Drosophila melanogaster: one gene and its partners. The gene in region 2 interacts genetically with the main gene of each other region. Each region holds a gene or a part of one and is shown on either strand. Other genes may lie near its edges. The genes, in order: w, Dcr-2, Itpr and aos.

Region 1 (7,620 bases), on a different chromosome or scaffold from region 2:
GCGCGCGATTTGAAAAGTTTGTATATAAAAAATATATCCCGGTGTTTTATGTAGCGATAAACGAGTTTTTGATGTAAGGTATGCAGGTGTGTAAGTCTTTTGGTTAGAAGACAAATCCAAAGTCTACTTGTGGGGATGTTCGAAGGGGAAATACTTGTATTCTATAGGTCATATCTTGTTTTTATTGGCACAAATATAATTACATTAGCTTTTTGAGGGGGCAATAAACAGTAAACACGATGGTAATAATGGTAAAAAAAAAAACAAGCAGTTATTTCGGATATATGTCGGCTACTCCTTGCGTCGGGCCCGAAGTCTTAGAGCCAGATATGCGAGCACCCGGAAGCTCACGATGAGAATGGCCAGACCCACGTAGTCCAGCGGCAGATCGGCGGCGGAGAAGTTAAGCGTCTCCAGGATGACCTTGCCCGAACTGGGGCACGTGGTGTTCGACGATGTGCAGCTAATTTCGCCCGGCTCCACGTCCGCCCATTGGTTAATCAGCAGACCCTCGTTGGCGTAACGGAACCATGAGAGGTACGACAACCATTTGAGGTATACTGGCACCGAGCCCGAGTTCAAGAAGAAGCCGCCAAAGAGCAGGAATGGTATGATAACCGGCGGACCCACAGACAGCGCCATCGAGGTCGAGGAGCTGGCGCAGGATATTAGATATCCGAAGGACGTTGACACATTGGCCACCAGAGTGACCAGCGCCAGGCAGTTGAAGAAGTGCAGCACTCCGGCCCGCAGTCCGATCATCGGATAGGCAATCGCCGTGAAGACCAGTGGCACTGTGAGAAAAAGCGGCAATTCGGCAATCGTTTTGCCCAGAAAGTATGTGTCACAGCGATAAAGTCGACTTCGGGCCTCCCTCATAAAAACTGGCAGCTCTGAGGTGAACACCTAAATCGAATCGATTCATTAGAAAGTTAGTAAATTATTGAAATGCAAATGTATTCTAAACATGACTTACATTTATCGTGGCAAAGACGTTTTGAAAGGTCATGTTGGTCAGGAAGAGGAAGATGGCTCCGTTGATATTCATCACACCCACTTGCGTGAGTTGTTGGCCCAAAAAGATGAGGCCAATCAAGATGGCAACCATCTGCAAATTAAAATGTTACTCGCATCTCATTAATATTCGCGAGTTAAATGAAATTTATTTATCTTCTGCAAAACTATAAACTATACATCTCATTGAAAAAAACTAAGAAGGGTGTGGAATCAGGCAATTCTATCTAAAATCTAGCGAATTTGTTTCCAAGAATTGTAAGCGTTATATCATTTGTTTCCACTGGAACCACTCACCGTTGTCTGAATAAGTCGCACTTTTACGAGGAGTGGTTCCTTGAGCACCGACAGCCAGGATCGCCACAGGACCGCCCGGAACTGCATGAACCAGGTGGCCTTGTAGGTGTACCCATTCTCCGGCTGCTCCAGTGGCTTCTCCAGATTTTTGGTGGCCAACAACTGCTCCATATCCCGGGCTACTTTGCTAATGGCAAAATTGTCGCATATCTTGGCGATCCGATCACGGGACTCGATCTCCCGTCCGGGCACAACGGCCAACACCTGTACGTAAAAGTCCGCCGGATTGTAGTTGGTAGGACACTGGGCACCCACGCTGGATAGGAGTTGAGATGTTATGTAATACTAGATACCCTTAATAAACACATCGAACTCACTAGGAAAAGAAGTCGACGGCTTCGCTGGGAGTGCCCAAGAAAGCTACCCTGCCCTCGGCCATCAGAAGGATCTTGTCAAAGAGCTCAAACAGCTCGGAAGACGGCTGATGAATGGTCAGGATGACGGTCTTGCCCTTCTGCGACAGCTTCTTCAGCACCTGGACGACGCTGTGGGCGGTAAAGGAGTCCAGTCCGGAGGTGGGCTCATCGCAGATCAGAAGCGGCGGATCGGTTAGAGCCTCGGAGGCGAATGCCAGACGCTTCCTTTCTCCGCCGGACAGACCTTTCACCCTGCCGGGCACACCGATGATCGTGTGCTGACATTTGCTGAGCGAAAGCTCCTGGATCACCTGATCCACGCGGGCCACTCGCTGCCGATAGGTCAGATGTCGTGGCATCCGCACCATGGCTTGGAAAATCAGGTGTTCCCTGGCCGTTAGGGAGCCGATAAAGAGGTCATCCTGCTGGACATAGGCGCACCTGGCCTGCATCTCCTTGGCGTCCACAGGTTGGCCATTGAGCAGTCGCATCCCGGATGGCGATACTTGGATGCCCTGCGGCGATCGAAAGGCAAGGGCATTCAGCAGGGTCGTCTTTCCGGCACCGGAACTGCCCATCACGGCCAAAAGTTCGCCCGGATAGGCCACGCCGCAAACTGAGTTTCAAATTGGTAATTGGACCCTTTATTAAGATTTCACACAGATCAGCCGACTGCGAATAGAAACTCACCGTTCTTGAGCAAATGTTTCCTGGGCGCCGGTATGTGTCGCTCGTTGCAGAATAGTCCGCGTGTCCGGTTGACCAGCTGCCGCCATCCGGAGCCCGGCTGATTGACCGCCCCAAAGATGTCCATATTGTGCCAGGCATAGGTGAGGTTCTCGGCTAGTTGGCCGCTCCCTGAACCGGAGTCCTCCGGCGGACTGGGTGGCCGGAGCGTGCCGTAGTTTTTGGCCTGCCCGAAGCCCTGGTTAATGCAGCTCTGCGAAGCCGCTCCGCTGTCACCCTGCAATGATAGGGGATCTCAAATATCAACTACAAGCGTTATGCTCATCTAACCCCGAACAAAAAGTACCCCGAAGTATCCTACGAAGTAGGTTTATACTTTTATTTATTTTTTGTGCATCTAGAAAAGGTTTCAAGCTGAAAACTTTTCAATTTCACGGCGTTCGTCCATAAAAATGAAGGCGTCTGTGCATAAATCTAGCCCAGCCTGGCCAATCCCTGCTCCGCCGTCCCTGTTTCCGGGCACTAACCCCCCCCCCCCCCCTCGGCTTTATAAAGAAGGAGCCCATCTGTTTAATAAAAATGCCCAAGATCCGAGTTTTCCAAGTTTCCCAAAAAGGAGATGGCGAGGCCTATTTAAAATGTGCAAATTAGGGCTGGCACTTGGTGGATGGCCTTGAAAGTGGGCGGTGGACGGTTGACGGGGTCACAGGTCGTTGGGCGATGGACGATGGGGCGATGGGACGATGGGTGGTGGCAGTGGCAAGGTTCCTCCACCATGTTGCCACCTCATAAGACAATTGCGAGTGTAAATCGCTGGCATCTTTGGCTTTCGTTTGGGGACTTTGAGCTTCGCCAGTTTTGTTTTTATTAAATATAAAACTTTAAGGATACTTTGGCTTTTTTTGGGTGGTGGGAAAACTCAATCTCTTGTAGATAAGTGCAATGAGCAGTATAAAGCAGTCCATTTACTTGATCCAATTATGTTGAACGCAATAGTGTTCAAACTACTACTTCTGCAATTGAGTTTAAGTTTATAAATCCGAAATACAAATTCTTATTTACGTTATTTTGTTTACGGGTAAAGTGATTTCCAAAACCACTGAGCTGTCAGTTTTCGCCCAGGTGGGGCTTCCCTTTTCGAAATGGCGGTAACCGAAGACGTTTGCGGTATGGTCAAATCAAGCCATCCTCCCCGCCCCAACTTTTCGCCCCATACCACTTCCGTTCGCGCATATTTTCATTTTCATAAACAATTTTCCGTTTTCCATTTGTGGGGTTTCTTGCCATCGCAGCGGCCTGCGGCAAAGCATAAATAACAGGGATCCACTAATTGGCGTCGAGGCAAAAAAAAAAAAAAATGGAAAAAACAAGACAAAATGATGGCCACAATATGGAAAGCATTTTATCCGCCGCTGCTCTCATAATAATTTGTATAAATAATCATAAAAAAAATTAAGCAAAAAAATGCAAGCAAATGAGAAAGGCAAAATCCGAAGAAGAGGGCCAAATAAAAAGCTGACATTCAATAAAAGCAAGAAAAAATAATGTCCACCTTGCACTCAGCGCCTGGCGGTCCTTGCTACAGTGAGCCCTGCTAAGAACTTTCATTTTTTGAACTATTTAAAATTAAATTTATTTTTCAAAACGATTGGGGGATTTGGATTTATCGTTTACATTGCTACATATAAAATCTAGCTAAAAGACCAAAGCCTGAAAACTGTTGCATTTCCTCCTTAGCGAGGCTTCACTGCTCATCTTCTGCTGCGATGCTTTGACAGCTTATTCTTCTAGCCACTCAGTGTCCAGTTTTTGGCCTGTTACCAAAAAAAAAGCACAATTGGTGACGTTACGAGAGGTAGACGCGAAAAAATGTAATATCCGTTTTCAGGCACTCCTCGAGCAGAGCGAGATGGCCATATGGCTGGGAAAGAGATAGAGGGACATGGCGAAATTGTTTTCACAACAAATGAGGCCGAAAAATGTTATTAAAAAGTTTTCTTTTCTTTTCTGTTTTCGCCGTCCCTTTCCCACTGGGTTTTCTTATCTCCCTGCCTCCTCTGGTTTACTCTCCCACCTTTTCCCTATTTTCGTATTTTGTTGAAATAAGTAGCGAAAGATGCTACATTTCATATTTATTTAATTTTTTGGCTTACTTTTTTTTTTATTTACTTTGCGTGCTATTTTTGAATTACTTACGAAATACGAAGGAAACTCGAGGAGTGGGCGCTAGATGGCGCTGTGCAGGGAGGCGAAGGAGTATCGTGATGAACTTGACAAATTGAAATGACTGAATAAAGAAGCGACTCAATTTGTTGTTCCTCCCGTTTTGTCGATTGTGCGAGTGGCTAATGAGTGCACTCAAAAGTCATTCACTTTGATGAGAACGAAATACTGAAGGAGGCGCAATTATTCAGCGGAAAAGCTGACGACCACTCGATATTATTAAGGAAATATCAGAGCGTAAACGGCCCAATATGTACATATATGCAACGAACATATAATTAAAGATGGCTTCAAATATTCCATACATATCATATTTTTCAATACTTTGTTACCTTTACTGCGTTACTTACTTCCCAAAAGAATTAAAGTTCTTATCTCCTTGTATAACTTTTTGAGACTTTTCAAAATTGTTTCAAAGAGCCCGGGGCTAGATATGCAAATCGTACTCACTTATTTATTTTGTTATACAAGCCGAGGTGCTAAGAATTTAAAGCAAGATACGCACGAAGATACCTAGATATCAGATGCTGAGCCCAAAGCATTCGTCTAGCCAAATAATGACCCAGATAAGACTAGATTGTACATTTTTCGTCGAGCGAGACGTGCAAACAACGAGGTATTAAGATCAGGTAGAAGATGCGAGTACACAACCAGAAATGGATACGGATACAGTATCTAGTATCTTGGCAAGCCTAGAGTTATAGACACCCAGCAATGTTGTTGGCCAACTTAAGCCGACTCCTCCCACGCCACCACTGGTTATGCGTCCCTAATTACGATCTACTACATCCAACTATTTGGGGTCGATGTATAATGTAGTGTAGTGTAGTGTAGTGTAGCAAGAAAATATTTGAGAATGAAAGGTGGAAGAAATGAGGACTTCATGGTAAGCTTAAAATATCTGGTTGTTATATTTTTTGTAAAAAAGAATATAGTCGAAAATGAATGCCTTTAGATGTCTTGATCATGATATGATCTCAAAAATTGTCTTATATAGCGAGAACAGCTACCAGAATAATCTGTTTCGTGTCACTATTTGTTTGTGCAATTGCGGTTTGGGATTTTTGTGGGTCGCAGTTCTCACGCCGCAGACAATTTGATGTTGCAATCGCAGTTCCTATAGATCAAGTGAACTTAAGATGTATGCACATGTACTACTCACATTGTTCAGATGCTCGGCAGATGGGTGTTTGCTGCCTCCGCGAATTAATAGCTCCTGATCCTCTTGGCCCATTGCCGGGATTTTTCACACTTTCCCCTGCTTACCCACCCAAAACCAATCACCACCCCAATCACTCAAAAAACAAACAAAAATAAGAAGCGAGAGGAGTTTTGGCACAGCACTTTGTGTTTAATTGATGGCGTAAACCGCTTGGAGCTTCGTCACGAAACCGCTGACAAAATGCAACTGAAGGCGGACATTGACGCTACGTAACGCTACAAACGGTGGCGAAAGAGATAGCGGACGCAGCGGCGAAAGAGACGGCGATATTTCTGTGGACAGAGAAGGAGGCAAACAGCGCTGACTTTGAGTGGAATGTCATTTTGAGTGAGAGGTAATCGAAAGAACCTGGTACATCAAATACCCTTGGATCGAAGTAAATTTAAAACTGATCAGATAAGTTCAATGATATCCAGTGCAGTAAAAAAAAAAAATGTTTTTTTTATCTACTTTCCGCAAAAATGGGTTTTATTAACTTACATACATACTAGTGACAACATGTTTATGTTTAGCTAATGTGTTCCGTTCAAAATAATTAAAAATTCGACCACCTTTGCACCAATATGATAGTACCCCACCTGGGCAGTACTCATAAGCTGAGTGGCTGTCTTTGAATACTGATTAGGTTGAGTGGGAAGCGTCTTCTTATCGTGAATAAGAGAGTTCTTGTTAATCCGCCTGTTGTCGTCCCGTTTCGGGGGTTTGCACTGTACTTTGCATGCATGATTTATCAAACGGCGACTGTTGATGATGCGCATTCCGCACTCCCCGTTTCCCGTACGCCTATCCGCACCCGTACTTCGGACACTCCGGTCGTTGTCGTCATCGTTAGCACCTCATCTCAGGCCCCGGAATCATGAACTGCCGCCATCAGCTGTCCGGGCATTATCAATCTTCATCATCGGGGCCAGTTGGTCCAGGATATGGATCTCGACTGGGACGGGTTTTCCGGGAGGCTATCAATACCATTTTCACGGACGATGTGGTAACAGGTTAGCAGTTGCAGTTGCCGAGGAATCTGCAGGAATTAATTTGCTGACGACGATTAAGTGGTCTTCAAATGAATATGGTTTTCTTTTGAGAGTTTAGCTCAGAATAATAGCTTTTGATTCGATTTGCAAGTTAATTATGCATATGCATGTGATATTTGTAGAAGTCTCACTCAGCACTAGTAACATTATTTCATGTGCCAGTTTTAATGCATATATGTTCTGCTCTACAACAGCTTCAAAGTTCGAAATAAATGATTTTCCTATTTCACTGAAGATCTTTAGCTGACTCAAAGTTAGATGTATGTACGATTCGTAAGAGACTTCCTTTGTGGGCCGATCTAGCGACAGACAACAAAGAAACGTCAATGTTTCACTCATTTTTGCCAACTAACCGAGTTTTTCGCTCAGTGACACTTATGGGGCTTCTTCGATGTTGGTTGAGTGGAGCTCGAATCGGGTTTAGACCGTCTTGAAGTTCGTGTTCGTGTGTGTTTGCCATTACTAACTCACTCAAATGCTGTAAACTTTTTGCACTTAACAATTTATTGTCACTCGCCTGTCGCAGCAGCGAAAGAGCTGAAAAATGGCATTACAACAAAAAGTGCTTAAAACCGATTATGAAATGCTCTAAGGGAATGCTGTAATTAATTAGTTTGCCGTTTTTATGCGCTCTAAATCAATAATAAAGTTAATTGCATACGTATAAGTATGCAGTTCATTTTTTTTAGAGTGGCCTTAACTTGATTTTTGCTTATTAGCCCTGCAATTG
Region 2 (7,721 bases):
ATGCAGGTAAATTGACAACTAACCATTACAGTTTCCCCTTCGACGATGGGCGAGCTAAACACGGGCTTCGCATGCTTGTGCTCAACGAGCTGTCGTATATGATTGATGGGCACTTTGCGCGTGAACTCCTGAAGCTCCGGCTCGAAGAGATTGAAAATTACCTCCCAAGTACGTTGGAGATCTCGGCAGTCCAGGTATACGGCTGCAATAAGGGCCTCCAGAACATCCCCCAACGCCTTTGGCACATCCACGTTTGTGGACATGTTGAACTCACCTTTTGGTGGGACTCCTTTCTCTGCTTCCTGAGAAATGCATTTATTTGCATGCGGTAACTCAGTCATATCCAATTCGTCATCCAAGTCCAGCGGAGTCGGCTGAACATCAGCTTCCTCGAGCAGAATGCGCACATAGTTGGTAACCCGGTGACCCTGGCTCTCCTGGAAATTCACGAATTTGGATATGATCTCGGAGAGCTTTGCGTTCTCCGCTAGGATAAAAAAGTGCAACCGATGCCGCACGCAAATGCAGGCCAGCGTAGTATTGTTGACCAAAGCGGAACGCAGATCTGTGAGGGCGCCCGGATTCATTTTCGTATTGTTCTCGAAAATATAGGCAGAGATTAGAAAGTCGAGTATGGCATCGCCAATAAATTCCAGCTCCTGATAGGACCCAGTGATGCGATTAGTGGGATACGAGGGATGGGTGAGGGCCTGCAACAAATATCGTCGATCCTTAAACGTGTAGCCAAGATTTTTTTCCAAATAATAGTGATTTATGAGAAAGCCGTCAATTTCTGTAGTATTCACGTTCGCCCGCATTTTCTTGCCGCCCAGTTCGAGGTTCAGTAACTGAGTAAGCGGCTTGTCAATATCCGCACGGCAAATCTTGAAGTACTCTAGCATCTTGAAGGCATGCTGCAATCCGTAGTTCTTAACGATTACGCCCAATAGCGCCTCAAGGGTATCGGCTATCACCTTGTTGGGAATCGTGACCAGTCCCACGCAGAAGTTCACCTCGGATGAAAAATCGGCACCGGCATAAAAGGACTGCCCATTTGCTCGACATCCCTCCACGAAGCGGTTGTAGTTGATATCGCTGCAGTTGCCCTTCACCAGGGACTCCTCATCGCCGAGAGCCAAGTCACGGAGATTGTGTGGGCCAATAATCTTTGCGAATTCCGGATTTTCTCGCCACAAGGCTAGAACATTGTGGGGCAAACTGATGCCAGGTGGAAGCCATGTGTATCTAGGCGTAAACTGAATGGTGTTGAGCGTTTTGGGAATGTCCGCGTCGATGAGGCAGAACAACAGGTTACGATTAGACACAAGCTTGGATTTGACCTCTGTAAGAGTGCCCTCATTCCAATCCGAATACTTGCTGGCCAAGTAGAGCGTGGCACTAAGTTTTAAGAAGGAATCGCCCAGAATCTCAAGGCGTTCCATGTCGAAAACATCCGCTGCGCTCGAGGCAGTGATTGCAGCCAAAAACTCGCCCTGCTCCGCTGGCGTTATATGTTCTTTGGAAACAGTTTTTTGCAAAATGAGCAGTGGTTTTACCTTCCCGCGGACAGTCGGTTTCGACGGCATCAAAGCTGGCACGTTTGCGTTAGTCTTGGCCGGAGTTCTGTTGCCATAGATATTACCCGTGGGCATATGGAACTGATTTTTTGCCCAGTATTCCTTATCTTCAAAATCCATCTCATTCATCTCACATACATTACCAACGCTAAAATGATAGTAGTAGTCCAGCTCTACGGGATACGTACTCAAAAGATTTCGCGACAGATCAACCGGCTCCATATACTTTTGCCAGGGATTTTCGAATTCTGTTATTTCAAGATTGGCCACGGACGCCTCAATGGACTTTGTGGGCATTGGCTCTAAAAGGGATTTCGGCTCCTCGATATCCTCAGTTGGTATGACATTGCCCAAGGGGTCGACATTCCGCTTTAGCGAATAATCAATTTCTAGTGGTCTGGGCATGTAATCAGTTCCATTAAAAGGCAGCAGATGGAGGTTTAAATACGTATTAAATCGCTTACGTAAGGCCTCTGCGTGGAGAAGGAAGTACATGCGGTTTAAAATGCTGGGTAGGAAGATCAACTTAAGCCATAAATCCCCAGGAAAGTTAAAATTGAAGCATAGCTCCGGAATCAAAATAACTTTCATCTTAGCCTTGCTCTTCGCGTTGAACTTTCCACGATTATGAACGTAGAAAGTGAGCTGTTCCGTAAGGTCTCTGACCTCGATCATAAACTTATCCTTGTGAACAACATCACCAATGCGGTTGCCGTACTTTGACATGGTAAACTCGTAGTAGGTCTTGTCCTGTTGGTTCTTTTCCATATAACTTAACGGTGTTAGCTCACGGTGCACCTTTGTGACCAGCATGGGCTTATCATAGTTGGCATACCATTGTGTAACAATTTTGCCCTCAAAATCTTCAGGACGTGGAGCAGGTTGTTGCTCGCGTTGCTGTACATTTGACCCATGACTTTGCGGTAGTCTTCGGAAGTTGGTCATCAGTTCCCAGTCAAAGCATTTCTGTTCACCCGCACCCAGTATGAGAGGAACTACCAGGTAGGAGTTCTCCTTGCTGCGACGATCCAGCACAAAGAACGGATGCCAAATCTTCAAGATATCGCGGAATACCATTCCGTGAAACTGATGGAGCAGCTCCAGCTGTTCGGAGTTCTGGATAATTACTTCAAGTGGTGCATTGGCCACTCGAACGTGTAGCTTACCCTGATTGCTAAACAGGGGCATCTCTGCAAGGCGTGGCAGCTTGTTCCGCAGCAATATAGCATAATTTCTTGGTGTTTGGAGATTTAAATACATGTGTTCCGTGTACTCACACGATTCAAACTGCGGCTCCAAAAATATTTCGTAGGCATAACAGATTTCACCTACCCGCGGAAGTGCGTCGTAAAACTCTAATGGACATTCGGTCTTGTAGGTTCTGTCCTTGCTCTTATCGGCCTTGTTGACTGTCGCAGTCACTATGGTTGAAAGATTAATATAAGTAAACATATCTTATGCGAGTTCTTGTGAACCCACCACTATCGCCATACTTATTCCAGTGCTCAAAATGAACATCAGCAATAGAGGCTACGCGCTCCTTTAATGTTTTGGGCACGAATCTCTCGTTTAACTCTCCCAAACTGTAGAGTACTTTACACGCTTTGAAGGCAGCTGATATTTTGGCTGTTTTAACATTGTCCATGGGATCGCTCTGAAAGAAATGAAAGCAATTAACTCTATTTGATTTTGCCATTTTCAATCTGAATCTCTAGCTTACGTAAATTGTGTCTCTTAGCATGCAATTTACTGGCATGTTGATTGAAATTACGTGCTTGCCCTTGGCAGAAACACCAAATATTCTATCACGTTCGTCTTCTTGCAATACATGGAACCAGGGGATCACAAAGCCAAAAGCATCCGTGGGAATTGTCTGGCAATAGCGATGCAGTATGGCCAGGGCATTGTTGGGAAGCAACACGGCACCGTTCTCATTGGTAAAAGGGTCAATATCGTCCTGGAAGTGCCCTTTGATTTCGTACAATTCTGGCTCAGTTTTTTCTAGAACTCGATCCTTTAAATATTCGGCAATGTCATTATGCGCTTTTCGATACTGATAAATTTGCTGAATTGTCTTTTCCCTTTCCTTATCAGCTGTGAACAGCACGAATTTGGCCTCAGTGGTACGAGCCCGACCCTTTGACTGCACGTACATGTTAAAGGTTTTAACAGGATCAAGAATAAAGACATGATTGCAGGCCTGCACATCGATGCCTTCTTCTAGGACGCTTGAACATATCATAAGATTGGCATTACCGTCCCGAAACTGCTGAATGGCCTGCGAGACGGTAAGAGCATATTTTGAAAAATATCAGCAATTAACGATAATTTCCACACCTACAGATTTTTGCCATTTTCTCTCCAAGACGCTCTCAAAGTCTGGAGAAATATTGTTGCGGCCCACCATGAATTGGGGCGTGAGCACGTTTCGCAGCTCAGGCGTAGACTGGATGTAGTTGAGCAGCAAGCCATAGATGCACTTGCAGGTGTAGCGGCGTTCAACAAAGACCAGACAGCAGATATCTTTGGGATCTTTATCAGCGAAGGATACCTTAAGACTCATCAGGAATCGCTGCACTTTCGGGGTGGAGAAGTTCATAATGACTTCCTCAGTGTTTACGTTGTCATCGTCGTCGTCATAAGTCATGTCTTGCAGTTTTTGCACCAGCAAGTGACGGATTTTCTCGCACAAGGTCAAGGCCGTCCTATGCATCAATTTCACGCTTAGCGTCTCGGCCTGGCGCCTCTTTATATCGAACTCAACAATTAACGAGATTATGGCTATGGAAGCTGCGTAGATGCCATACTCTTTCATCTGGTACAGAAAATCGTTGAACAGTTGCTTTACAAAGCTCTTCTTCGACGGATCCCGCAGGCATTGCAATGACTTTGACCTTCGGATCGGTTGAACGCCAATATTCATGAGGTCTAAGGATACATAGAACTTTTCAATTTCTGCGCTTATTAACCTTGTAACCGTGAGCACTTGCTCTTGATGTGGAAAGGACACCATGACCTCTGTGGGCTTGGTGGCGTACCTGAAAAGAATATGCACTTGTTGGGAAACTGTAGCTAAAATGCCACCCGCTCTTACAGCATCACGTTTTCCATCTCCTTGGTGTCGGACACGGTAATGATGTTTCCCCGATATGTGATCTCTAGCTCTTTAAGTTTCGTGGCCACGTTCGTAATTTCATTTCCCTTGATTAACACCCCGGTGAGACCCACCACGCGCGGCAATTTTGTTTGATTAGCGATAGTGAACAATCGCATGAACTCACGAAATGGGTGGTGACCAGTGCCGTGGTGGCACTCGTCTATGATGACAACGCTCAGGGAGCTTAAAGCCACGTACGTCTGGGTGACCATGTCCAAAAAGACCTGGGCTGTGCCAACAAGAACCTGTTAAGAACCAAAAATTACACATGTAGGTTTAATTCTGGAAGCAGTGTATTATTATTAACTATAAATATTCCTCGAATTACACTGAAAAGTCTAACATGAATTCAATGTAATAAAAATGACCATCAAATCTACTACTCGATGATCCAGAACAATCCACAAACTCAAGTTAATTTTAAATAAACAAATAAAATAAATAAATAAACAAATAAACATACTACAAAAAAAAAAAAAAACAAATAAAATACATCAATTGACGAAATGATGATTTTGTGATGGCTTAGCAAAACACGACCCCTTACGAGCCCATAAAAATGCTGATCCCAAATTTTTCGACTCAAGTGGTGATCGCAATTGCAGTGTGTAGTGGTAGTGTAGTGTTTAGTCCGTACGTGATCATATGCGTATATAAAAAATGCCTCCGCCATCCTATACTCACTTGGTTTTTTTTGATTTCATCACTCCACATTCCGCGCGTCCAGTCATCCACTCCCTGTTCACCCACATAAAAGCCAACCTTAAAGTTGGTGCACCGCCTGACGGCCATCGCCTGTTGTCGGGCCAATTCCACAGTATTGCACATGAACAACGCACGCTTTCCGCCGCTTTCGATGGGTCTGTGTAAACAAATCGGAATCCGATATAGGTATTACATATAATAATATATATATAAATGTAAGTATCGGATATAGGTAATACATATAATAATATATATATGTATATCCATTCGCTACTAACTTGTCAAAGTCCTGCGAGAAGCGCTTTAGGACCAGGATGGCCACGAACGTTTTCCCAGATCCTGTGGGCAGGTAGACAATGCCATTGCTCTTCGTTAGGTGGTCAACCAGGCGAAGTTGATAGCCGCGAGGCTGGAAAGGATTTTGTTAATTATTTTGCAATAAGCGAGAGCGCAAGCCAATTCATTTTACCTTGATTTCCACATCTTCCATATCTTCGCTCTTGGTTACAGAGTCTTCGGGATATTTTGATATTACAATTTGAAGTCAAATAATTTACGATTAAAGAACAAAGAAGCCGGTGACAGAGTGGCCAGCGGCTCTTATAAGATGCCTTGTGTCAAACGTATTAAGAATTGTGTTTCAAAACGGACTGGTCACACTACGCAGTGCGGTTCTTTGAACTTAAATTATTACCACAAACCGCAACATAAATAAATTTGTTTTGAAATGCTCGCTGCCAATAATATACCTTCCGGAAATAATAAACGTTTCCATTTTTATCGAAATCTGCAACAAAATAATAAGCATTTTCGGTAGTGTAAGTTCGTGAATTATTTATTATTTGAATTCTTAATCAATACCAATTGTTAAGAATATATCACATCACTTTTTGACCCATACTATCCTTAGATCATTTAGACCTTCGTTTGCAGCCCTCCTCCATACGAGTAAAGTTTCTTATTTCCTCATTTTTTTCCAAGACTTAAAATCTTGTCAAACTAATTAGAATTATACTAATTGAGTCTAATTAGAACTACACTGACGGAAATGAACGAAAATTCAATCGGGTAGTTTATATACATGGTGATTCTACTTTATTGATTATGCTCTTCACTTCTTATACATAACATTTTCTTATTGGCTTAAGGAGAATATGAAAAAGTATCGCTACGACTAAGACTACGCGACATCATCACGTCTGGCTCTTGTCATCACTTTTGACACCCTTTCCTCCGGACAGCAGGTCCTGGATTTCGATTATTGTCTTGCCCTTGGTCTCCGGCACGAAGAACAGAGAGTAGAAGAAGGCGATGACCGCGATCGCGGTAAAGATCCAAAAGGTCGGACCCGGCCCGATCGAGCTCTTGAGGATTGGGAAGAGCAGCGTGACCACGAAGGCCGACAGCCAGTTGCTGGTGCCGGCAATCGATCCTGCCACACTCTTCACATCCTCCGAGAAGAGTTCCGCCATCACCAGCCACGGCACCGGTCCGAATCCAATCGAGAAGAAGATTATGAAAATGCAGATACTGCTGATCGGCAACCAACCGAAATTGTCCATTGAAGCCGGATCGTTCTCCTTTAGCTGAAAGTACACGCCCATCAGTGCAGTGGACACGGCCATCAGAACGCCAGAGATAAGGAGCAGGATGCGACGGCCAGCCTTGTCGATAATGGCCACGGCAACCAGCGTGCTGGTCACTTGGGTGACTCCAATGATAAGCGTGGCATCGCTGCCACTTATGTCAGAGCCCGTATCCTCGAAAATGGAGGCGGAGTAGAAGAGAACGGCGTTGATTCCCGTCCACTGCTGGAAGACCTGCAGGAGCACAGCGATTCCAAGACCCTTCAGGACGATGGGTCGACGAAGGGAGGACAGAATGTTGACCTGCAATAAAAATAAGACCACGTATTATTTTCTAATCTTCACCAAAATCAATGTATTTATTAGGTATGATAAGTAGTATCTGCTACACTGATTACTAAATGGAATAATGGAAACAAATTACGTACCTGTGTTCATATGTAGTTTAACTACGAAATCGTTTAAGTTTAATGCAAACCCTATCTTGGTTCAAGTTATTGAAAATCTTAATGAATGAAAACAAAATATTATATACTATCTGAATTTACAACATTTCTTTTATCAGGGTAAGTATATGTATGTATCACTTCCGATTGTGTGATAATGGAAAGAGTAATAAATCTGTTAAAGCCCTGCGAACCCTTTATAAAGTTTCTTTATGCCTTCAATATCGATCGATTTTGATTGATTGATTGA
Region 3 (4,667 bases), on a different chromosome or scaffold from region 2:
CTCGGCCCACCTGAGCAGAAAAAACGTGAAGCACACAGATACTCACACAATCACACCAGACTGGCGCTGATGAGAACACTTTGCTTCTCATCCAGTCTGCTTCATTGATAACACCCGACCTCCGCATCCGAACAAACACACACACACCCTTAATAATTGCAGCCAAGTGGGCTGTGCACATCGGATGGGCGGGGGGCGGGCGCTTATATTTTATTTGCAGCTCCAGAATGTCGCTTACACAATTTGCCTGTTTATGTTAATTGCTGGCGCTCCCAGGCGCCAACCCCGGCCACTTTACCGCCCCCCCTTCCACAAAATCCCCACCAGCTGCTCAATTCAGCTTCGAATTATGCACATGCTCATGGCAAGCCCACATAAATTGGAGCAAACACACGATTGTGGTCAAAAAAATAAGCATACCTGAGAATCTTCAATGTGTTTTATTTATTTAATGTAATATCTTTGTGGTCAGTTTGTTTAAATGGTGACAAGTGGCAAAACTGAACAAATTTGGCTGGTTGGTAAAATTTATTGATTAAAAATCATGCACAAACGTTATCAGTATGTCAAATGCAATTATACGACAACTTTTGGAGAATTATCAACTACAGTTGAGGGATTCTGAGAGAATAACAAAAACAAATTGTGAATTTTTTAACTCTTTATATTAAAATTGATGACATCTGAATCGTGGTTAAAGAGAAAATAGTTGTCAAGTTCCAACTTTTTTTTTTAAATATACATATATAATTGCACAAAAACATAATAATCAAAAAAATTTTAATACTATACCGAACTAGCGTTTAAAAATTAGAATATATATGTACATTTTCTAGCCGGTTGATCAAAGTACCCGCAAATGACATCTCAATTGACTGGTTATCTTCAATAAATGAAACTCACTGCACATACTATCTATTGGTCCCATTGATTGTATAATTTAGTAATTTGTTCGACATTATAATGTGAATATAATTGATCGTAATTGTGTGATCATAGGCCCATTAACCCAATCATGATTACATGCAAATCAAGAAGTAGTGAAGTGCGCTCTTTCAATCGCAACAAAAAAACTTGGCCAGAGAGGAATTTGGCGATGAAAAGCCATTTTTTTACCCCAGGTAATGGAAATCATCGCGTGCAGCAGGCTCAACACGTCCACTTTTCATCCCCCTCCCCCATCTTTTTTGGTATCCCTCATCTTGCCTCTTACTCTATAGCTCGCCACCTGCCCAGTCAACACCAACAACAATGTGGCGCTTAATTAAGCACGCGTCGCCCAGTCAGCATCTCTCTTTCTCTCTCTCCCTTTCGCTCTCTCTCTCTTTTCCGCTGTCTGCAATCAAGATGTGTGCACTGAGAGAAAATATCGGCGCTAAGTTGATTTTCTCGAACGCAGATGCATTCAGTTCAGAGGACGTCAAGTGAGAAATTTCCAAAAGTGATTTGCATAACTTTAGGAACTGACAAAGAAATATTAGGATTAAAAAAATCCAAACTTTTCTCGAAACTGTGGGCGTGACTGTTTTGAACGGTTTGTGGGCGTTAGAGTGGGCGCGGACGTTGTGAATTAAACTTGCACATCTAGATTTTATAGATCCCGAAATCTCGATCTGATCAATAATATATGTATCCGGTATACCCTTTCACTCTACGAGTAAATACGAGTTTTAATTATGACTATGTTACTTCGTCATTATAATTCTTAAACACTCCCATTTGAAGAATTTTTGTATAACAACAAACAATCCCTCTCACCACAAAACAATTTTGGAAAGCATCACGTTCATATACATAGTGGCTTGAGTTGAAATCAACACTTGACTTCGGAGTTGATTCCCTAAGGATTTATTTATATTTTGTTTGAGTAGCTGGCATAGAACCATACCCCCGATAAGCAAATGTCTTCAATCAGTGGGATTTATATGTTTTTTCCTTAGCTTTTCTATTCGTGTAAGCAACAAATAGTGGCCACTGCAACGTAATTGAATCTCAGCGCATTTCTGGCCCTTTCGCTTTGGCTTATTGTCAATTATTGAGCGAAAGCAAGAGGCAAGAACGAAATCAAAATCAAGTGGGATCAAAAGGCGAGGGCGTGACTGCTAGATAATAGCTATCGCGGTAATTAGCCTATCGGTTCGGTCGTGATAGGCTTATTGCCTTATGACCTACTTAAATTGGTGGCAAGCCCTTCGGGAAACCAGAAAAACCAGTAACTGGGCTCGATTGGCAACAGGTTGTCGTTGTCGTTGTCGTGGGATACTCACCGTAGAATGTATGTAATGTAAAATATCCCTTGTAGAGATGTGCTACTGTATTGTGATTGGTATTGAATCATCCGTCGATAGACGACGATCGTAAATCGAATTTGACTTTATATTTATTTTATTCAAATGCAAACACTCGCGGGCACTCGAAAGAACTTAATATATTTTCACCTTGAGTGGGCCGCACTTAGCCGCGGAAAAGAGAGAATAACAATAAGTGGGAATACGGTGAGGAGGAAGAAGAAGGCCCAGAAACCACACACAATAACAATAACAATGCCGGGGCAGCGACGTCGGCAGAGGAGGTTTTGTCAATAAGAAATAACCGTTAAAACACGCGACAAACAATTCCGGCTGCGGGAAAGAGAGGCAGCATGCGATACAACGTCAACAATCGGCTCTCCCGACCCCACGATCCCGTTGACCACCCACAAGCAGCGCAGTCGCAGCGCAGCAGCAGCGCGGGCAAACAAAACGATTGTCGATTTCTACGCACTTTTCCCAATCACGCACACACACCCACACACGCACGTCGCGTTTAGGCCAACAAATTGAAATTGGCCAGCATTTCGGGCATAAATTACGCGCTCAAGGCGTATGAAAATGCAATTTTCCAGAGCGCCGCGTCATGCGCGACTTCGTGTACCGTACCGCTCAGCTCCTCCGTCTCCCTCACTCCAACGAAGTGCCAGCGCAGCGCAGATAAGGCGGACCGACGCGGAAAACCCCAGCGAAAACACGTCCGACTGAAAGCGCGGTCGAGCAACAAGTGTTTAAAAACCGTCGAACCATATGATCGATTAGTGTGACCGCGCGAAAAATACTAGTTAGCCGTTAATAAATGGTGTAATTGACATCTTAACTGTTTTATGCACACATATATAGAATTATTGACAGTAACACGTTAATTGCATTTACTATTGACAAGGAATGACATAAGCAAGTGTTTGAAAACCGCAGAACCAACCATATGATAAATTAGATGGGAGCGCATGGATAAAATACTAACATACTCTAAATACTAGTTAGCATGGCAGCACAGGGTAGAGATTTGAATCTTATTCAAATATTCATAGTTTTTTAGTCATCTGTGCTTGAAAATTCCAGATCAATGTTGATAGATTGGCCGAGGATTAAAATCTTTCCACTCATCGACTCACATACTTAGATTTTGCTTCTAATGCCTATTAACACAATGAAATGGTCACTCTAACGATCTTGCGTTGGTATTCATTTTTTCGCGATCTGGCATTACCACATATGTAAGAAAACACCGCGAATTCAAAGTTCTGCTTTTTCAAAAATGAGCAAAATAAACTTTAAGAAATCTTGTCTTTGACCATTCTCATTGCTGCAATGGGAAATGGAAAATGCCATTAATATGCGGCATCTCCCCTTTTCGACTTGCAGAAAATGCTGGATGTTTGCTCGAGAAACCATTGAAATCGTTGCACAAAACACCTCGTTTATCCTCCCCCAGAAACTATAGACTTCCGCATCATGGCTATGGCTGAGTTTGTTTTTTGCCGGCCATTGTTTGGGCTCGCCATTGTTCTCCTGGTGGCGCCAATTGATGCCGCCCAGAGGCACACTGCCTCGGATAATCCCTCGACGTACAACATTGGCGGCGTACTGAGCAATTCCGACAGCGAGGAGCACTTTAGCACCACAATAAAGGCAAGCCCATTGACTAACTGGATGCTCCACTAATCCGAATGCGATAATCACGCTTTCCCATCCAACCGCAGCACCTCAACTTCGATCAGCAGTATGTGCCGCGGAAGGTCACCTACTACGACAAAACCATCCGCATGGACAAGAATCCCATCAAGACGGTCTTCAATGTGTGCGACAAGCTCATCGAGAATCGGGTAAGTCGGTGGCCAAATGCAATTACCTGCTCATTTCCGACCATTCCTCCATCGCTTGAAGCTGCTCACATACTCGTATCTGTGTTTAACCCGACCTGGTTCGATTCATTTCCATAATTTAAGGGGAAATGATTCGGAAATGGGATGATGACAAGCGGTAATGCGCCAGCAGAATCCAATATCCATGAGCTAACCAACTGGAGCTCTTAGAGCGAAAGAGTGCTTAAATGTGCAAATTGAACTATAATTATACAATATTACTTTAAATGCGTTTTGTTGTTATGAACCAGGTTTGCAGAATGATATATAGAAGGAGTTTGTAGGGGTTTGGTTATTAGAAAGCTAAGATTTATAATCATAATTATCTTTTTAATTATTGATGGTCTTTAGTTGAGCTAAGTGATTTACAATATTGTCTACTATTTGGCAACATTAAAGTATTATCGGTACTTATTTGTCACTTATTCTAAATAAAAATATATAATATTACAAACTGGGTACAAATGTAAAGAACCATTCAAATGAAATA
Region 4 (4,757 bases), on a different chromosome or scaffold from region 2:
ATCGATTTAAAGTATTGAATACACTAAAGAACTTTGCTCAGTGTAGCCACTCACACATGCACCACCGCATCGCGCCCCTGACTCCCCTCCATTTCACCCATTATACCACACCATACCAAACCGTACCACCGTCATTATGACCATCATCATCGACTTCTCGTAGTCGTCGTGGTCGTATTTCATTCATGAATTTTCTTTCATTCAGGTCTTCCCCGTCTACCCGTCTCCCTCCCTCCCCCCGCTGTTGCCGTCTCCTTCTATCCCCGTCTCAGTCGTGGCTGTTGAAAACGTTTTTAAATACCGGAACTGAATGTTTAGCGCTTTTAAGCATGGGAACTTTTTGTTTTCTTCTATAAACTTTCATCTCCCTCGCTCCCAGCCTCCTTCCTCCCTCCGTCTCTTTCGTTCCCCTGCGCCTGTCTCTTTCCATTTGGCTATTTGCCTCTCTTTCCGGCTGCTCATTCACAGCCTTTTGTGGATCTATTCCGTTGTGTTCTATTCTCCAATAAGGCGTTTTTATTGCAAGTTTCCAAACAACAGGAATTCTCTGCTCAATTTTTTGTTTGTCTATTTAAGGTGTTGTGTTGTGATGCTGCTTTGTTATGCTTTTTTTTATATGTATATGCGTTCCAAAATTTATTGCATGCATTCGGATTACAAAAATTATGAACCAAGTCGAACCATAACGCCTTGGCTTGAAAGAAGGTTAAAATGGTATTATCTACTTGGGTGAGAAGTTTAAGGATACGCTTGGGCTTTTTATAAAGTTACAAATTATACCATGATTATGTTTTGATGATTATTACTTGTTACACATGTACTGATAGAAAGTTAAGAATTTCCTTGCATTGGTAATTTCTCGCCGATTATTACACACTTAGTTAGTGATCCTTTGCAAGGGTATTTCTAAGTCGAACCTTTTTGCTGCCATGCCCCTTTGGCTGACTTGGTTATGCTGTCAATATTTTGCTTTTGATTACTATTGGGTTGATACTTCACGCCTCGGCCTCGTAGAAACATCAAGCAAGAATTCGATTTTCAGGGCGTGTTCTGTCGTATGACATTTGACATAATAGATATACGATACATGATATATGACCGATCCAAGCCCCTCTCTTTCTCAATGGACACTTGATTTATGGCCAGATCGGGAGTGAGAACAATGGAACCGCGGTGACCTATGATCTGAATTCGCATTGTAGCGGATTTAAGGGGAAAGATAACGGCAAGAACTTTTTGGTGTACCGTCGGCTTAGTCATGAATAGCCAGCATTGAACTCTTGACCCGCCCGGCTAATTGGTTTTGGTATCGCTCATATCGTTCGGTTGTATGGCAATTGCGACTTTAATTGATCAAATGCGACAGATCAGTTGATGTGTTGAGCTCTCCGACTGCAAACAACTTTCATTTTTCATCTAGAGCGAGTGTGGCCGCTGCAATTAAATGTGCCATATGCGTATGGTGATATATGAATAGTGGTTTTGTGGGTGTCAAGTGTAATGGCCATAGGGCGGCTGCTAAATATAGACAGAGTTTTCTGAACAAAAGCAAAAAAATATGTAAAAATAACGAACTAAAACTCGGACCCAGCCCAAAAAAGTTGCATTGCAAAACCTGCTGTGCAGAGAAAGAAATCGTAGGTTGACTTGCGCGATGACATTTAAGATATATCTATGCTATAATACATTTGACTGATTAATTGATTAAGCTACAAATCCGAAGATAAGAGACTGTTTTGAGAGTTCTTTGATAAATTGGTATGGCAGACCGTTAGCCGATCTGCTTTTCCCTAATTTGACTGAAATTATCTAATCGATCAATATTGTTTTCTGTGTAGATGCTGCTGTTGCCGTTGATACCGCTGGCGTGGGCATTTTACAAATGGCAACCAGTTGAACAGGTGTCTGCTGACGTTGTTGCCTGCATTATGCAACCTGCCATTGCCAGTTGTTGGTTTCATTGGTACCTTGTGTTTTATTTTATGCTTTTTTACTTAGCCCCACCGATCAATGCAAACATGCAATTAGCCAGGCTAATCAAATGAATTTAGTACTTGCTAGCTACTCACCCCCACTTGGTAGAGGATGCGCACATCCCGATCGCCGTGCTTGCCGCCGATGATGCTGCGATGCTGCTGTTGTTTCTGCAACATTTGTCGCGCATGTCGCCGCGACTCGGCGAGATCCTTCTCCGCAGCCGCTGTGGAGGAAATGCTCACAACGGTCAGTTGCTCGGTGGCGGGCTTCACTGTACTGCTCGCCACTCCAGTTGCTGCCGCTGCTCCTGAAATATCTTTGGCATCGTAGACGACGGTGTACTGCAGACTCTTGTGCTTGTCCGCTGTGGATGTGGTCGGCGTAATCTCGAACACCTCGAGCGGCAGTCGCGTGCCGCCGACAGCAACGGCAGCGGCGGTCAGCAGCAACAGCAGCATGCACGGCAGCAACATCAATGTCGTAGGCATGATTTATGACTCTGACTCTGGCTGGGATCTCTGGATGTTCGAGAATCTGGATCTGGATCTTGTATTTGGATCTTGGGATCTTTCCGAATCTCCGTGCGTGTTGTTTTCTTGCGGTTTGTAATTGACACTCAATGAATTTTGTAATTGAATTCGAATCAAATCCAATCGAATCGAATCGAATCGAGTCGAATCAGTGTTCTCGCTCTATCTCACTCGCTCGCCCAGAACCCATGGCTTACATGCACACACACACTGGCAGAAACGAACTCTACAAATCAGGTTTCAAATCGAACGATCGATTGATTTGTGGCGAATGTCACTCGAAATTATTGGATATTTCATTCACTGCAATCGGTCGGTGGTCGGTAGTTTCTGTTTGCTATTTAGTAACTTAACACCCGCGACGTCGCTGTCTCCGGTGGCCTTTCGTCTCGTCTCGTTTTCGTCTTTTCTTTCGCTCCTGGAACGTATACCCAATGGTACCGATGCTATATTATATCGTATCGTATCGCCTCGGTTACTCTGCCCTCGCTCTATCGTTGTTCGCTCGACCAACTCACTTTTCGAACTGATCAAACAGAAAATCCAAAAACGAACAGCGCGCGGCGAACGAGAGCCGTTGAAGCCGGCAGAGAAGTGCGCTGCTCGCGTCGCTGCCGGTATGTGCGTGTCTGTGCACTGAGAGAAAATGCTCGATTAAACAGAGAAATTAATAGTAATATAAAAAAAAAAAAAATTTGTTTATTATTCTCAATTCAATAAAATGTAATTATTTATTATATTGGTTGTATAAGAATTTTTATAAAGTAGTATAAATTTTCAATCAAATAAATATGTACATCTAACAAAAAATGTTATTATCTTATAACAAAGAGGTAAAATCATAAGTAGTACGAAATCTTTAAAAGAGAAAGTGTGTTACGCAAAAAGTATTCAAAGCAGTCTTTTGAACCCACTGTTGTCTTTTCACATATTTGGTCAACCGAATTTGTTCCCAGTGCATGAGCGGCAGCGTCCGAACGTGAGAGAACACGAAAGAGAGTGGGCTGGATATGAATGAATGAACATGTTGTTGCTGCCTTTTTCCGCTGGTGGTTGCAGCATCCATTGCTGCTGCGCCTGTGTGCGTGCGCGCATCTGTGAGATGCATCTGTGACTAAGCGCGGCTGTATTGGTGAGAGCGAGCGGATGGCAAGGTGTCTCTGGCTCGCGTGCTTGGCTTAAAGCAAAAGCAAAAGCAACAACGAAATAAAATACAACAAAATAACAAAAAATTAAAAGGGGACTTCGCAGCCAAGCGGCTCTTGCCGCTTCCGTTGCATCCTTTCGGCCGTTTTTGCTGCCGCCGTGTTGTTTTTGTCATTTTTACTACGGCACCGGAAACTAATTCCTGCCTTAGCCACAACGACCTGGACTTGGGCCGCCGCCTCCTCCTGGCCTTCATCGTTCAACCTTCTCCTTTTGCCATGGTTTCATGTTTGGGCCTTATTCTTGTAGCGCATGCCAAAAAAAGAACAACTGGAGAAGAATCCAGAAAAGAGTTTAACACAAAAGGAAGATCGAGCTTAAAGTCGATGCTTTAAATGCCCTTCGAAACAAAGCTTTAGTGGCGAACTGGCTTATAAAATCGGCTAATAAACCGCTAATTACCTTGGTAATTACAGATCATAAAGTTTAAATGGATTTGGGTCTATCAATAAACTTTTATAGTAATACATGCTTGAGAGTTGCAAGAAAATGTAATGTTTATTTAACACCAATTTTTATACTACAATACATTTATAATGTAAAAGTAATGTAACAATGTTAAAAAAAAAGTTTCGTATTTTTGGCGTGCCTTTGATAACTTGATTGTCAATTTGTGAGGTTTTCAAAAAAGTCTGTTTCGTTAGTCTTTTTTTTTTTGTTTGGGTTGTTCCTTTGTGATTATTCCTTTCAATATTCTTCTAAAAAAAATATGAATGCCCCAAGATAGTGTATATGGAGAGTACGAGAGAGACCTGGAAACGATCTTCATCTCCATCTTCAGCTTGGAAGTTCAAGCGAAAAACGCGCGAGGTTCGGCAGAAAGCCCGCCAATTTTATGGGCCAAACCCGATAAGATTTCATTTGTTTACGAGTTACCTTGAGACGCGCCAGAAACAACAACAATAGCCAAAACAACAACAATACAAGAACACAAGAAAGAGCTGGCGATATAGGAGCATTAAGCAGAACCGACAACTCCAACTGAAAGGCGGCCATTGTTAGTTGGAGGTGGTTTCCCTTTTCCCTGTTCCATTTAACCTTTTC

What was found.
Region 1: of Dcr-2 (region 2) and w, changing one suppresses a phenotype caused by changing the other (phenotypic suppression), as found in Drosophila melanogaster (3 studies listed by BioGRID).
Region 3: of Dcr-2 (region 2) and Itpr, changing one enhances a phenotype caused by changing the other (phenotypic enhancement), as found in Drosophila melanogaster (one study listed by BioGRID).
Region 4: of Dcr-2 (region 2) and aos, changing one enhances a phenotype caused by changing the other (phenotypic enhancement), as found in Drosophila melanogaster (2 studies listed by BioGRID).

Annotation. Positions count from the first base shown.
Region 1 is NC_004354.4:2,790,438-2,798,057, forward strand, and holds w (white), read right to left. Parts: upstream 6,030-7,620; 5' UTR 5,872-6,029; coding exon 5,800-5,871; intron 2,692-5,799; coding exon 2,418-2,691; intron 2,344-2,417; coding exon 1,689-2,343; intron 1,628-1,688; coding exon 1,312-1,627; intron 1,109-1,311; coding exon 977-1,108; intron 907-976; coding exon 292-906; 3' UTR 162-291; downstream 1-161. UniProt on the Drosophila melanogaster protein: ATP-dependent transporter of the ATP-binding cassette (ABC) family which transports various molecules including bioamines, neurotransmitters, metabolic intermediates and second messengers.
Region 2 is NT_033778.4:17,575,498-17,583,218, forward strand, and holds the start of Dcr-2 (Dicer-2), read right to left. Parts: upstream 6,029-7,721; 5' UTR 5,930-6,028; coding exon 5,909-5,929; intron 5,849-5,908; coding exon 5,718-5,848; intron 5,597-5,717; coding exon 5,419-5,596; intron 4,980-5,418; coding exon 4,672-4,979; intron 4,616-4,671; coding exon 3,919-4,615; intron 3,856-3,918; coding exon 3,298-3,855; intron 3,232-3,297; coding exon 3,057-3,231; intron 2,999-3,056; coding exon 1-2,998. Other genes in the region: CG6484 (uncharacterized protein), read right to left, coding at 6,633-7,328.
Region 3 is NT_033777.3:5,515,489-5,520,155, reverse strand, and holds the start of Itpr (inositol 1,4,5,-trisphosphate receptor), read right to left. Parts: upstream 3,040-4,667; 5' UTR 2,268-3,039; intron 1-2,267. Other genes in the region: Nmdar1 (NMDA receptor 1), read left to right, coding at 3,768-3,944, 4,016-4,138. UniProt on the Drosophila melanogaster protein: Receptor for inositol 1,4,5-trisphosphate, a second messenger that mediates the release of intracellular calcium. Together with MCU, has a role in oxidative stress-induced ER-mitochondria calcium transfer.
Region 4 is NT_037436.4:16,480,612-16,485,368, forward strand, and holds the start of aos (argos), read right to left. Parts: upstream 3,040-4,757; 5' UTR 2,466-3,039; coding exon 2,070-2,465; intron 1-2,069. UniProt on the Drosophila melanogaster protein: Regulates cell determination; development of ommatidia and optic lobe. Is a signaling molecule involved in the process of axon pathfinding in the eye. Part of the Ras pathway regulating programmed cell death in pupal eyes; activated by lozenge (lz).